2 linked regions of the Alligator mississippiensis genome follow. The protein of the gene in region 1 binds, or shares a complex with, the protein of each later gene. Links are inferred from orthologs where the notes say so. Each region holds a gene or a part of one and is shown in the gene's direction. Other genes may lie near its edges.

Region 1 (7,294 bases):
TTGCAGCTGGTCCTTAATTCTGCTACACAATAGGGCAAACCAAAAGACTGGGTAGAAAGTCTTCTAAGCTTTGGGGGACTAAGTGAGCAGCTGGAAAAAAAAGTCCAAATTCTGGACCAAATTCAAATTTTGAAGCTATGCAACAGCACAGTGCTCTGGAGAAACTTTTTCTCTGAACGCTCAGCGTACTCTGTTTAAGTGCAGTCTCAACACCGACTTCTGCTAGCAGCCCTTTGACCACTGCTTTCCCTACACTGCTTCAGGCACTCTTCAGGTGGTAAAATCGGTTACAAAATATACACTGACAAGTTGGTATGTGATTAACTGAGTTACAAAGTAGTTAGCAGGGATGAAAGATGCTATGCACTTAACTGGTTTATGCACTTAACCAAGATGTAGATGAAAGATATTTGTTAGAACATGAGCAACAGGCAACAAATTGGGGTTGCCATTATGTTATGCAGTTAAGTGAATGGTGCACTTATGCGTATACATTGATTGGATATGCTTATCTGCATAGGTAAGTGGAGTAGACTATTATTTTATTTTAGGACATACCTCTCCATCCCAACTACTAAGGATAATATTTGGTACTTCTATTTTAAAAGGCTCAGGGCAGCTTATGGTAGAAAACAAAATAACTTATAAAAACAGAAAAAGACAATACAACAAAATAGTATAACTACAATTCCCTTGACATGATGTTCAAAATTTCAGAGGACATTACAAATATGAAATCCCTCCATGACCCTGAGAGGTACTTTTCCTTTCAACAACTTTAACTTTCAAATCAAAAAAAAATCTGGCAGTATATGCTGCCAAACTGTAATTGCAGATATCTTTTTTAATGGATATCCAGATGCTTCTATATACTATTTCTAGGACTTGGTAAAGAATATAGTTCATTTTTTGCTACTATTAAAGGATGCTTTGCTTGCTAATTGGCTTAACTCATATTTAGCCATAATTCAATATTTACTCAATTGAGTAAAAAACAAAACAAAAACAAAACAAAACCCCATAATGACTCCTAGCATAATTTAAACCAGAATTCAAGGTCAATGTGTTTAAAACTAAATTTACATACTTAGAAAATTTAAAAAGTTATTGAGAAAAAAAATCACTTTACACACCCCTTACCAATTATTAGGCACAAGCATCTAATGCTTGTGAAACCACATGCTTCTCTGAACCAGCTAGTCTGTAAGGTGCCAGCCTCCCCTGCCTTCTGCCTGACTTCAGACTAACACAGCTAAGCAATTATTTATGATACTCTTGATTATTAAATATCATCTTACATTTATAAGTTTCCTGATATTTTGCTAGGGCTCAGCAGGCTAGCTTTAGGTCCAACCAACTTTAGGTCACTGCAACAACTGTTTAACAACATACATCAACATGCTGCCATCAATTTAAAATGGAAAATAATAAAACTCTGAACTACAAGAGACAACTGAAACTCATTTCAGGAATTTAGGAAGGCAGATACCCCACTGTTTGAAGTCAGTCAAGACAGGAGACCTTGCCTCAAGTCCTACACTATGTCACTTTAAATACCATGTCACACAAATGACAGCGCCTACAGAAGCACAGTAGTGCTATGAGTCAGCATTGAACTCATGGTCTAGGACAGGGGTTGGCAACCCCACAAAACCACTGGATCCAGCCCACGGATGTGGGGCTTTGGTGGCATTCAGCAGTGCGAGGCTCTGCCTGCAAGTGCTCCCCATGTACTGCCACACAAGAAGGACAAGCGGTGGTAGCCGGTCCTAGCACCTGCCCAAGCACCTGACATGGGGTGTGTTGTTCCGCCCCACAGTGAGCCAGAAAGTTGCTTACCCCTGGTTTAGGAAAAGTAACGGCTACTGAATAACCAACACAACTTCCCACAGTACCCATGTATTCACTGGCTGTCTTCCACCTAAGTATCAGCAATAATCCAGCTCAGCCCTGCTTAGTTAAAGGAACTGACTAGATGACAGCACAAGCTGGTACAAATACAAACAGTTTAAGTCACCATCAATGCCGTTGGCTCTTCTCAACATCTTGCCCTGTTTGAACACTGTTAATGTGCTCAGTGAAAAAGCACATTCAAAATGGGTATGGTTTGTGTTTCCATGTTTCTTTCCTAGGAAAAGAGGAGAAAGGACAATAGTGACAAGGGAACAAGTTTCAATCTAATGTGCCATAAATTGGTGGGACTCCTGGGAAAGATGACACAAGATACAGCTGCTTGCACTATGGGTGAATTTGCCAGTATGAATTTAAATCTGATCACTTGCCTATTCTTTTCATGCATTTAATGGCTATATTTGTTTAAATTATAATTGGTACCTTTTATCCTACTACATCCCATATCTAGCACTTCTTCCTTTGATTCTGTGTTCATTTCCTCTAGATTGAGATAATCCGGCATATTCAACCGCAATAAAACATTGTGTGTTGGTGCCCTGAATGACATTTGCATCTCTTTACCATTATAATTGCAGGCTTATACTGCCAACATATTTACAGTCAAGGAGACTTGCATATGAGAGAGCAAGGGTAAGAGTGAAGTGGCTGACTAGCACTTTACTGTTTTACTTCCTAGAAGTTCATTTATGTATTTATTATATTAAGGTACTTGAGCTTTGCCTCTGTCTTTTCCAGAGGACAGGAGGAACCAGCACAGACTCAGAGATCTTGTCTTCATTAAGAAGTTTATTATTCATATATACACCACATATTACTGACCAAGGGAGTTATAGTTTTCAAATGTTAGATGATCAGAGCCTTGCCTCTCTCTCTGAACACACGTGAGAATGACCAACAGTATTGTCCACGCAAAATATGTCACTTAAACCAGGCCTGCGAAGTTAAAACACTGCAAGGCGCCTAACATGAATGCACCTGTTTACCCCCCGGTTTACCCCCTTGCTGTAAAGGTGCACGTGCAAAGGACACGCGGGTAAAAACAGTGTGTTTTCACGGTGTTAGCTCACGCACCCCGGTCAGTACAGCACCGCTGGAAAGGTGCAGGCAGGTGCAGGTGCAGGTGAACGAAGCCACGTCGTAGCTAAAGCTCCTCGTTAGACTGCGACCACAGCAGCTTCTCCCGGGGCAAAGCAGAACGCCGCGTCCACGCTGAACCTTTTGGTCACGTTAGGCAGGAGATTCATGGTTGAACACCGCGTCTTTTATTTTAGTCTCGGCAAGCCCCCCTCCGCCGTCACGAAAGAACTGCTTCTCCCACCCATCGCCCCCGGAAAAGGGGAGGGAGACCCCAATTATGACGGAGCTCCCAGCCGTGGACCCCAGCCTGCACCCGGAGACGAAGGACTGAAAATAACAGGATGCTTGGAGAGGGCCGGTCGAGACTCCACACCACGAACAAGGGTTGCTGGCCCGGCTGCCCGAAACAGGCGAGCCGACCCCATTTCAGCGCTCTCAGGCCAACTGATTCCCTACCTGGAAGACGTGACGTGAACCTTCGGAAGACCTGGGAAGCAAGCGCAGGATTCGGCAAATTGGGGTGCAACCTCTCCGGCAGGGTGCCCTGTCCTCTCTTCTCCCGATGCGCCGCTCCCGTCCCGTCCTGAACCCTCTCCATGGCTCCACCGGCATCACCCCCAGCCGGGCCCGGCCTGGCCTGGCCTGGCAAGGGCAAGGACAGCTGTCCTGTGGGGACTGCCTGCGCCTCCCACGGGGACGTTCAACAAAGGTGGCAAACTCCAAACCGAGGGAAGGCCCCGGGGTGCCCGCCCCACCCCGCGTAACCGCCAGGAAACCGGGACCCCGCCAATAAAAAAATCCCAATTTTGGGGGCTAAAAAAACCCAACTAACCCCCCCAAAATCCACGCTTAAAATGAAACGCTGCTATATAGGCATCTCTATATTAGTGGCGCTTCATTTTAAAGCACAGGAAACGTGGATTTGGGGTTACTTTTTTTTTAAATCTAAAAACTTGAGGGGCTCAGCTCGCTCATGGCTACGAGCTGCCCCAGACCCACAGGCCCCCTCAGTGGGGGGGGGAGCCTCAGAGACCCCTTTTGAGGGGGGGGCCCAGCCCGACAAACCCCCCTCAGTGGGGGGAGAGGGGGGGCAAGCCTCAGGGACCCCCTCACGGGAGGCCGCCTCAGCCCCGCAGAGGGGGAGGGCCCTAGAGACGAGACCGCCCCGCCCCCCGCTAGCCCCGCCCCCCCGGCGGCCATTCCGCCGCTATCCCGGCATGCCCCGCGCGGCGCGCGGCGAGTCACGGCCCGGCGCGGCGCTCCCTTCTTCCTCCCTTCCCCCCCCCGTCCGCGAGGCAAGATGGCGGCCGAGGCGGACTCGTGGGGTAGGTGCTGCTCCCGCCGCCGCCCCCCGCCCCCCTCCTTCTGCCCCCGCTCACCCGCTCTCTCCCCTCACAGACGCCGACACTTTCGAGGCGGCGGATCCGGCCGCCAAACCGCTGGTGCCGGGCGTGGGCGTCGACCGCTGGGCCGGCGAGGATGAGGAGGACGACGTGAAGGTGCGCGCGGGGGGGGCGGGCACGCGTGTCCTCGAGCGCGGCCCGGCCCGGCCCGGCCCGTCCTGTCCTCTCCCGTGGGGCCGCCTGCCCCGGGGGGGGGCCGGGCTGCGCTCGGGCCGTGTGTGTGCGTATAGGTGTGCATACGTGTGTGTGTAGTGCGTGTCTAGGGGTGGAGGTGTGCATACGTGTGTGTGTGTAGTGCGTGTCTAGGGGTGGAGGTGTGCATACGTGTGAGTATAGTTGCATACGTGTGTGTATAGGCGTGTCTAGGGGTGTAGGTGCATATGTGTGAGTAGTTGCATACATGTGTGTATAGGCGTGTCTAGGGGTGCAGGTGTGTGAGTATAGTTGCATACGTGTGTGTATAGGTGTGTCTAGGGGTGCAGGTGTGTGAGTATAGTTGCAAACGTGTGTGTATAGGCATGTCTAGGGGTGTAGGTGCATATGTGTGAGTAGTTGCAAACGTGTGTGTATAGGCGTGTTTAGGGGTGCAGGTGTGTGAGTATAGTTGCATACGTGTGTGTATAGGCGCGTCTAGGGGTGTAGGTGCATATGTGTGAGTAGTTGCAAACGTGTGTGTATAGGCGTGTTTAGGGGTGCAGGTGTGTGAGTATAGTTGCATACGTGTGTGTGTATAGGCGTGTCTAGGGGTGTAGTTGCATACGTGTGTGTGTAGGTGTATTGGGGGGGTGTAGTGTGTGTGTGTGTGTGTGTGTTTAGGGGTGTGCGTGAGACCAGAAGTCGGCGCTCACAGGCCGGTTTCCAAGCAGCGGGACCGGGTGCGAGATCTGCCCCCGCCCCAGGGCGATCGTGCGTCCTGTTCGCTACCGCTCCGAACTGCACGGCTCGTGGACGACAGTGCGGCGCGGTGCGGCGGGGCTGGGCTCGCTCTGCTGTCCCGCGCGTCTGTCGATGCTGGACCGTCCGGGCAGGTTTGGACAGGGGCGACCCTGCCTCAGGCAGGGGTTTGGACTAGAAGGGAGCCCTACTCCTCTTGCCATCTTTAGTGCTTTGGACGCTTGCACATGAGATGTCGAGCAAAACTGCGCAAGGATATTCTGGGGGGCAGATGTCCGTGAACTTTCTTTTTTCTCTCCTATTTCTACCTTCCTGCTTCGGAGCCAGCGCCCGGGTGCTCACGTCTCTGAAGGTGTCTCGTTTTCTAGAGTACAGAGAAACACTGTCTGTTCTCAGTTTTTTGTGGGTCTCCCCATAGCGAGTTGCTTTATGGTTTCCCAGCTGGTGTTAATCTCGTGCTCCCCGCTGAAGAGCGTGTCACATCCTGTTGGACGGGACTTTGGCCTAGAGAAGCGATGAGACGGGGGTGACGGCCAAAGGGAGATATAAGCAACTGGGCTTGGCGCTGAGAAGGGACTATCTGGAGCCACCGTCTGCTGGCTAGGAACGGTCCCTGCCCTTGCAGTTGTCTTTTAGCCCTAAGACCGCCCTTCCCCGGGAAACCAGACAGCCCTTCAGTGCTACGTAGGATTAGGTGATGAGATGCGACGTAGTGACTTGAGGTGGTTCTCGGAGCTGATTTCGCTGTTTCCTGCGTTTGAGTGTGAATTGTCGCAGATTTCCAAGCCGTAGGAGGGGACGTTCTGTATTTGAAGTTGAGGCCGCTTTGTTTTGTGCACGTCGGTGAACGAACATTGGTAACTTAATACCTAGAATTAAACACTGAATTTAGGTTACTGAGAGATTGCTGTAGACAGTCTTATTATTGGTGACTAGATGATGAAAGAAGTGTGTTCCTCCTTTCTGGTTCGCCCGGACACGGGTGCAAGTAGGTCCTGCTCTAACCTTGATTAGGGTAATTGGTGCTTGCTAGTTGTGGGCTCCAGCACTACTTTTGCTGTTCAGGTTGCAGCCAGGGAAGCATTCGATAGGGGCATACTTTGGCTTTTACAGAGGTGGGGCCTCTGGGTGGGGTGGAGAGAAGCATCTTGCAATAGGGAGGTGCCAGGTGAGTGCAGCACCTTGCTACTAGGGTGTGTCAGGTTGGGGAGCATATTGCACAGCCTGGGGCATTCGCCCCTCCTGCCTCCCCTCTGCCCCACCATTGTCTGCGCTAACTGCCGGACCTTGTGTACGAAGTGTACGGCTGTGTCAGAGTTGCCCATAGCTTGGGTTAGGTGCTGCTTGTAATGAAGACATTAAGAAAACCAAAGTGAACGGTCTCTGTACTATCTTCATTAGGGGTGCACCGATAGAGGTTTTTTGGGGTGATAGCAAAGGCCAATTTTTAAGGAGCCATATCAGCTGATACCGATCTGATTCCAACAAGCATCCCAGCAGCTTGGAGACCAGCAGCAGGCTGGTAAGTCAGGTGGGGGGAGGGAAGGAGCATGGGGGGGTGCCCCTGCGGTGAGAGGGAGTGGGGCAAGGGCAGGCGCTGTTCAGCCAGGGCGGGGCATGGGACGGAGCCATGAGCAGCTCGTGCAGGGGGGATGGCTTTTGCCACTGCGCGCACCCCAGGAGGGCATGGGGAGCATGTGTTCCCAGATCTGTCTGGTGGGCCAGGCTGCAGCTGTGGGCTGGGGGCAGAGGGGGCTGGGCCAGACTGCTCTTGGGGCAGGCGGTGGTGGTGCTGGAGGGAGATTGGGAGGAGGCTATGAGAAACCTTGGGGTGGCTGCAGCGCCCCCCCCCCAATAGCCCCACGCAGATCCGGGGACACTCCTCCCATGCCCTTCTGGAGTGTATGCAGAGTGGGAGCCACCCCAGTGCCCCCCAGATGAGCCGCTCACAGCTCTGTCCCATGCCCCACCCCAGCTGTGCAGTGCCTACCCTGGCCCCACTCTGT
Region 2 (7,863 bases), on another chromosome or scaffold:
AAATGGCTGAGCCACTATAAAAAAGCAATGGGAATGTGTTCTATGGCAGAAAACATATGTCTGGATAATTAGTGCCATTGTGCTCAAATAGTGCTATATGTGCTCTTTGTTCCTCTGTGCCACTGTAATTTTTTTTTGAGGAATGTAGAAGGTACAGTTTAAATTAATCTAACCTGCTTGCACTACTAGGAAGAATTAAGTTCTACTTCTTTCATGCCATTTCTCAAGTTATGCTTCTAATCCTTTTGGGTTATTAAAATTAAATTCTAAGCTAAGGTTGCAGTGAACTCCTTTAACGTGAGATAAAGCACTCTATCTGAACATAGACATGGACATTGAACACAGACAATGCTAAAACTGAATGTGCTCAGACTGAATATAAAAATGCACTGTCCCTGGGAATTCCCTGAGTTGTCCTGCATTTTCCAGAAAAACTAGTAAGGTGGATTCCCATGGTTTTTGGGGGGTTATTTTTTGAGAATCTAGCGGCTCCTTTCCAGCTAAGTATTACACTTTTTAACAGTTATGACTGACCTGAAACAAATACCACTGAACAATGAAAAAGTCATCCAGACCTACACCCTCTAAAAAACTTGAAGGATCCAAAATATTTGGTTAGGTAACTGTTACTGGAATTAATATTTTTTAAAAGGTTAGATTTTTCAGCATGTGCCAGTTCAATAACCTGTACTTACAAGCTTAAGATGCCAGAGATCATAATAAAAAAGCATTCCATACACTGAATTACTGAATACAACTAATTATGTCCCCAGCTAAGAAAGCACTAAGTGAGGTACAGATTAGGTATTACTGTGAACCACTTCTTGTTTTTTTTTAATGTTGAAAATCTATCATTTCTTCAGTGTGTTATCACTCCTCCTCCTGCTTCATTTTTTGTGAAATGTTTAAAATGTGTAAATGTGAAAGAAATGTGTAGAATTCAGTCTCTTCTACTTCAGTGAATGTTGTCACAACACAGTGATTTTGGTGCCTCAGCACTATGGAATTTTCTTGTCACATGAGAGCCTCTTGCACAGCGAAGGTTTTTGCTACCATTAAACCTCGTCTGCCTCTCCATTCACCAGCCCGCCCTGACGAACGAGCAATTTCTAAATCACCTCGGGTCGGCTCCAGCTGTCCGAGACAAATGTATCTGTCTCCCCCACTGTGATAGCATTAATACATTTCTCTCTCTTTTTTTTTAATACAAGCTCTCCTTCAAAACCACTCTCTTATTTTAGCTTAGATTTAAATAGTAACTAATGAGCATATGTACTCCTTTGCATGCTCTTTTTGAGCACCTAATAATGTCTCATTCAACTCTAAGGGTAAGGGACACACAAAGGCCCCAAGGTAAGCTGGTCTGTGAACCTGCAGCATGTGAACTATTCTGAAATAACTCTCAATGTGAACGCTCTTATGTGGTAAATGCAAGGAAGCTAACCCTAGCTTACCTCACAGAAATGTGTTTATGTCCTCATAACCTAACCTAAGTTGAGGAAAAATAGATTTTTATGTCAATTTGGTGTGGAATTAATACAACACCTCAGTTTTTAGAGACAAATGGAATTTTACAGTAGTATTAGTCCAGCATCCCCATGCAGAATGTTGGTACTATTCTATGTTGATTATTAAAATAGACCAATAAAGTTCCATGCAAAAACAGGGAAAGGCTTAATTTTTTCTTGTTAACCTTGGTTTGAGTCAATGAGTCAATGTTATGCTGGAGGTTGAGTGGCTTCAGGCAAATGTGTGGTTGATTAATGGGTTATTTCAATCTTGGCTGATACACACCCTAGATCAGCAGTTTTCAATCTTTTAAACTCAAGTCACCCCCCCTTTGACTCGAGGCAACCCTCCATAACTTTTGTGAATTGCATTTCAAAAACTAATTTATTTATTATAGTGCAGGTTGAGGAATGGAGGTAGGAAAGTGGCCAGGGAGAGATGAGCATGGGTGTGCACTTGTTCTCTTCACACTTGCTTATCTCCTCACACCTCATAGCACCCTTGAAAACCCAGTTCTGGCACCCTTCCTTGTAAGAGAGAATTACACTTGCCCTGTTACTATGAGAAAGCTGGGGAGCAAACAGAACTGGCAAGGGCCCTCAAAAAACAGGATTTTTGTGATTCAGAGGGATGAAGACTCAAGGGTGGAAAAGAGCTGCAAGGACCAGCAAAGAAAAACTCCAGATGGCAAGCAGCAAAAAAGAGAAGAAGCAAGGTCCCTGCAATCACCATTAAACCTGGCCTGAGCAGGGGCTGAATTAAGAAGGGATTGTAGCCAAAAGGCAGGCAGCTGGCAGGGCTGCAGAGACTAATCAGCAACCCCTGTGCTCAGACTGGATGATGGGTCTGGCTGGCTGGAAAGGGAGAAGCTTGGAGGAGAATAAAAGGCTTGTCCTCAGACTAGAGAGGGTACTCTGATCCTGGCTGGGAAATAAGTGAAGCTTCTAAATAGACTATGGTGGTACCTGGAGGTACAGTAAAAGGGGCCTTGATGGGTAAGGGTTAAGAGGTTTTCTTTGTTTTGGTTTTTTTCCTCTTCAATATTTTTCCCCCAAGTGGACCAAGGAAGGATAAGGATTTAAGTTCACGTGCATTTTGGTTGTGAATACCTGAAGGAGCGATGGGTTTTGTTGGATTTAAGCTAGCAAACACTGGATGACCAAGAGCAGCTGTAAAAAGAGGAGGCCACACTGTAGGTGCCGTAAAGCACCCTGTGAGTTTAACCCCCTACATGCAAAAAGGTCATAAAAAAACTTAACCAGTGAGGCCAGAAGGCTGGGAGAAGTCTAGAACCTGCACTGTCAGGCTTAGTCCCAGCTGTACAGCTACTGTTGAGAAACCAAGACTAGAATAAGTGGAAGAGGGCCAGGCTTGTCAACTGCTGGGTGTTACTACTATCTGGAAGGTCTAGTCTTATCATAGCCCCTTTGCTTAGAATGGCCAAAACAATAGGAAAGAAAAGTAGTTAGCCATATTTAGGCTGGAGTCAGGCAAAAGGCAGGGTAGATTAGAACTATATAGACTAACTACATCAGGGATGTATAGCATAAGCAATGGCTTTTGAAATGAACTTCTGTTTATGAAAGCTTATGTTATGCACCTCTGACTTGGTCTATAAGGTGTAAACTCACTCTAATTTGTGCAAAACAATAGAAGCCCCTGCATGTACATTTGGATAGCGTTCCAGATTTAACCATGGCTAGCTGTGTAGGCTGACTGACTTGAATGAAAGTCAGGAGTCAGCAGAAGCATTGATGGCTGACCATGAAACAAAGCAAAAAAATGAATCTTGTCAGTTTTGTGCTACTTGGAAAGATAGTTGTTTCATCCCACCACATTCAAGAAAATGGGACACAGGGGGGCACATGCCCCCTGAGACTGGCCACTGCCAAAGCTGCCACAGGCTTCTGTAGGTCATTACTGCCCCTCCCCTCGCTGCTGACATGGTGGCTGTAGGAGGTCACCACTCGCTGCTGCAGCCAGTGTAGACGATGGCTGTGGGCAATTGTTGCTCACCACTGGTAACAGAGCAAACAGCAGCTCCCCACTCGTGCCCTTCCCCCCCCTCCCCCAAAACAAACCCCTCCCCACCAGTGGCAGCAGGGGAAGGAATTAACAGTCCTGTGCAATTAACCCCCACATCTCCCTCCCTTGGAGGAAAAAAACTATTCCCAGTAAGGATATTGATCCAAATAAGGGGATTTATTTTACTTCCAATGCAATGAAAGGTACTTTTTTACCCTAATGCAGCATAGGGAGATTTTGCTCCCAGAAATAAGTTCATGGTACAGGGAGGTAACACCATATAGCGATGATACTCCAACTGCAAGTTAGCACAGCAGTCTGTGTAATAACTTATGGTGAAAGCAGATGTTGAAGAGAAAGTATGTAAGAACAAAGATAGAAAGGTCAATGGGGTCGCTATCAAAATCAGAGGCTGGACACCAGAGCTTGGAGCATGAAGCGCTCATACGGCCTGGTGTTAGTTACCATGGAGGTGCAGAGTTGTGACTAAGAAGTGGTTTCCATTTAGTCTTTGGGCAGGAGAAGATTTCACCTGCACTCGTACCCCATCCACGAGGTATGTGAGCCTTGACTCGCTGCACAGACGGGGCACGCTCAACGCTCAGGAAAGGTACCTCTGCTAGTGCCAGGTAGCCTTCCCAGTACTTTCGCTGACAGGGCGGAACGGCGCTGCTTACGAGCCGCTCTGTCCAAGCAGCAAGGAAGAAAGGCTACGTGGGTGACAGGGTCAGTGGCCGGGGCGCGGGAAACCGGCTCGCTCTGCTGCTCCCCGGGAGATGCCGGGACTGCAAGTGACAGGCTCCCCCGAGGCGTGGCCTAGCGCGCCTGCGCAGACGGCCGAAGCTTCCCTGCCGTATGTCCCTGGAACCACCGGGCGCCCAGGCCCCACCGGCTCAACCCGCGGGCAGCCAATGAGCGAGCATTGACACAGCCGGGCGAGCGATAGGTTTAGTCACCAGCCAATCGAAAAGCTTAGGACGCCGAGAAGGCGGGCACAAGCGTGGCAGACCGACCCAATCCACGGTCTCGTGCCTCCTCTGCCGTCCTGAGGTTGGTTTGCGGCTGGGGTAGGCGGGAACTCGTCCTCCTCCTGCCCAATGAGAAGTCACCATAGAATGACGGGCGTCTGATTGAGCCCGTTATCGCCGGCGCGGTACTGCCCACCCCTCTCTGCAAAATGGCGGCGGTAGCTCCGGCGGCAGATCCGGCTACGGCGCTAGCGCCTGTCCCGGCCGCGGCCCCGGCGCCCGTCCCATCAGCCCCGGCGCCCGCCCCGGCAGTAGCGACGCCAGCAGGAGGCGCCGCCCCGACGGCGGCGGCCCCGGTAGCCGTGCCGCCCGCTCCGCCCCCGCCCCCGCTGTCAGCGGTGCTGGGCGGCCCCTTCCCCGGCGGCCGCGTGGTCCGGCTGCACCCAGTCGTGCTCGCCTCCATCGTGGACAGCTTCGAGCGGCGCAACGAGGGCGCGGCCCGGGTCATCGGCACCCTGCTGGGTAAGAGCCCGCCGGCCCGGCCCCGCGTCCTCGCCCCCGCCGGGGGCCTGCCCCGCTCCGCCCCGCCCCCCTCACCCCGCTCTCTGCCTTGCAGGCATGGTGGACAAACACTCCGTGGAGGTCACCAACTGCTTCTCCGTCCCCCACAACGAGTCCGAGGATGAGGTAGGTCTGGGTCCAGGACTCCAGCTCCCGGCTCCCTGGTCCAGCTCAGCTGCATGAGCCCCCAGCCCTGCCGCAGAGCTGTGGTGGGACAGGGCCGGGAGCAGAGGTGCCCCAGGACACCCCGGAGAGCTCTGGAGAAGGTGCTAGTTACCCCTGGTGCAAAGTACTTGGTTGCCGTGGCTGGGAGTAGGGGAAGGCAGCTGGCACCTAGGGGCTTTATGGGCTAATACAGATGGCTGATTGTTAACAAGCTGTATCGCTGCTACCGATCCAATTGCTGGTATGCTCTCTGGTAGCCTGGAGAGCAGTGTCTGGCTGGTAAGTCTGTTGGGGGGAAGGGGCATGGGGGGGGTGCAGATCAAGGCCCCCCACGGTAAGGGAGGGAGTGGGGCTGAGGCTGGGGCAGGCACTGCCCAGCCAAGGTGGAGTGCAGGACAGAGCCAGGGGGTGCGAGGTGAGCACAGGCTGGGGCCAGGGGCAGTGCTGGGCTCTTCCCAACACAGGGAGTTGGGCTGGAGCTGCTCTTGGGGCAGGCAGGGGTGGGGTGGGTGACCACAGCACTGGGAGAGGGAGTTTGGGGTGGGTTGTGACCACGCTGGAATTTGCCATAGCTACCCCATAACTCCCCAACCCCCACCGGGAAGAATCCAGCACCACCCCTGGGTCCAGCCTGCAGCAGCAGCCCACTCACCCTGTGCACAAATAAGGGGGGCTCATGTCCCCATGCCTCCCCCCAGGGGTGCGCACTGTGATGAGCCGCTCCCCACCTTCCTTGGAAGAGCCGTTTGCAGCTCTGTCCCGCACCCTGCCTGTTCTGGGTAGTGCCTGCCCCAGCCCCACTCCCCACCTCACCGCAGGGGCCTTGATTTGCGCATGCACCCACCTCCTCCCCCCAGCAACTTACCAGCCAAACTACAATATGGACCAGTGTACTGGTGTATCTCTGCTGGGAGTGCTACTTTGGAACATGCTGTTCTCTCTGTTGTGGGGGTCCTGACTCTGCCCTGTCCCCCATCTGTGCATGCACCTGGAGCATTTGGACTCCTGAGCAGGCTGGGGAGTGCCCAGTGGTGATGTAGAGTTGCATTAACAGGCCCTGGTGGCAAGTCTGTCCCTTAGTTTGATCACTGCACCACAGTATTTGCTCTACTAGGTCTGGTCTGGTAAATACCAAGAGATGGGACTCTTCTGTGAGGTGTGGCTGTTATCGTCATCCCTTCCACCTCCATTAAGCTGCCTTCGTTGCTCTTTGCTCAAATGGAAGTGCTCCTGCAGCTGGCAGCTTCATGCTTTTTGCTCTTTTTTAGGTTGCAGTTGATATGGAGTTTGCCAAGAATATGTACGAGCTGCACAAGAAGGTTTCTCCCAGTGAAATCATCTTGGGGTGGTAAGTGGTCATCCTGTACTCTCTTGCTTGTGTCTCTGGTATCTGGGGTTCCAAAGTGGTCACCCATCCCAATACTAGTCAAGTTCAGGACTCCTTAGCTTAAAGCTTCAGACAAAAATCTGCATTCAGTGTAGCATAGCTGCTGCACAAACCTATTAAACTTCTTGAAACAAAAGCCAATTTGCTGGTTAGCTGGTTGCAGAAGTGCTAGCTGTTAGCTTAAAAGCAAATATTGTTAACATGTATTAAATTTTGAGTGTGAAATAACTTTTTTTCAGTTACTTTTTCAGGAAATGTAGTTGGTATAGTATTCTAATTACTATTGTAGTGTTTTGAAGAAGTTGGTTTTCTGGCTGTATATGAATGGTAATAAAACTTTCCTTTCCCCATGGTGGAAAGTTCTTAGACCTCTTGCCTAAGCCTGCTGAAGGGAGAGAATGAAGTACATCTTTGACATTGTTGTCTGTGTAAGAAAGGATGGGTGTGTGTTTAGGGGTCTGTGTTTAGGATAGGGGTGGGCAAAATATGGCCCGTGAGCCGGATGCAGCCTGTGAGGCCATTCTATCCGGCCCGTGGGGCCCCTAAAAAATTTAGAAAATTAATATTTATCTGCCCTTGGTTCTTGCCAAAAATGACAGGAACCAAGTGCAGTAGGACCCAGGGGAAGCCTGGTGGGCTCTCACAACAGCAGGGTCAGCTCAGCCCCACCCCCTGAGCTGGAAGCCCCAGTTGGGGCTTCTGGCCTGGGACCACATGGTTGCCCCCGTGGTGCTGGAATCTCAGGTAAGGGAGGGGAGGGGGGGGCAGGCAAGGAGCCTGGGGAAAAGCTGTGCTGGGGAGGAGGGAAATGAGTGGCTCCTCCTCCACCCCATGGCTGGTGCCCTGCGCTGCAGCTACTCCCAGCCCGCTTGGGGCTGCCTGTGCCTGCCCCGGACAGCCCCGCAGGCTGCGAGCGCCAGCTACAGGGTGGGTAAGGGGCTGCTTCCCTTCACGCTCAGCACCTCCTTGTAATCCAGCCCCACTGCCAGCCTGGGTCCCACGCCGGCTCTGGGCTCACCCATCGGGGCTACGTGTGGTGATGTCAGCTGTGGCCCCCCCTGCTTGCCACGCCAGCCAGTGTTTGCCACCGCCGCCTGTGGGCTGCTCAGTGTGTGCCCAGGCGGGCAATAGCAGCCAACACTGCCTGGCGTGGCCAGCAGGGAGGCTGCAGCTGCCAACAGGCAAGTCCAGAGCCGGCGCAGAGCCCAGGCTGGCAGCGGGGCTGGGTTACAAGCTGGTGCTGAGTGC

The links.
Region 2: EIF3J (region 1) and EIF3F share a complex: the UniProt entries of both Homo sapiens proteins name them as parts of the eukaryotic translation initiation factor 3 (eIF-3) complex. The link is inferred for Alligator mississippiensis from reciprocal best matches to the Homo sapiens genes EIF3J and EIF3F.

Annotation. Positions count from the first base shown.
Region 1 is NC_081834.1:1,714,890-1,722,183, forward strand, and holds the start of EIF3J (eukaryotic translation initiation factor 3 subunit J), read left to right. Parts: upstream 1-4,209; 5' UTR 4,210-4,291; coding exon 4,292-4,316; intron 4,317-4,389; coding exon 4,390-4,490; intron 4,491-7,294. UniProt on the Homo sapiens protein: Component of the eukaryotic translation initiation factor 3 (eIF-3) complex, which is required for several steps in the initiation of protein synthesis.
Region 2 is NC_081829.1:25,034,428-25,042,290, forward strand, and holds the start of EIF3F (eukaryotic translation initiation factor 3 subunit F), read left to right. Parts: upstream 1-4,696; 5' UTR 4,697-4,711; coding exon 4,712-5,024; intron 5,025-5,118; coding exon 5,119-5,189; intron 5,190-6,496; coding exon 6,497-6,576; intron 6,577-7,863. UniProt on the Homo sapiens protein: Component of the eukaryotic translation initiation factor 3 (eIF-3) complex, which is required for several steps in the initiation of protein synthesis.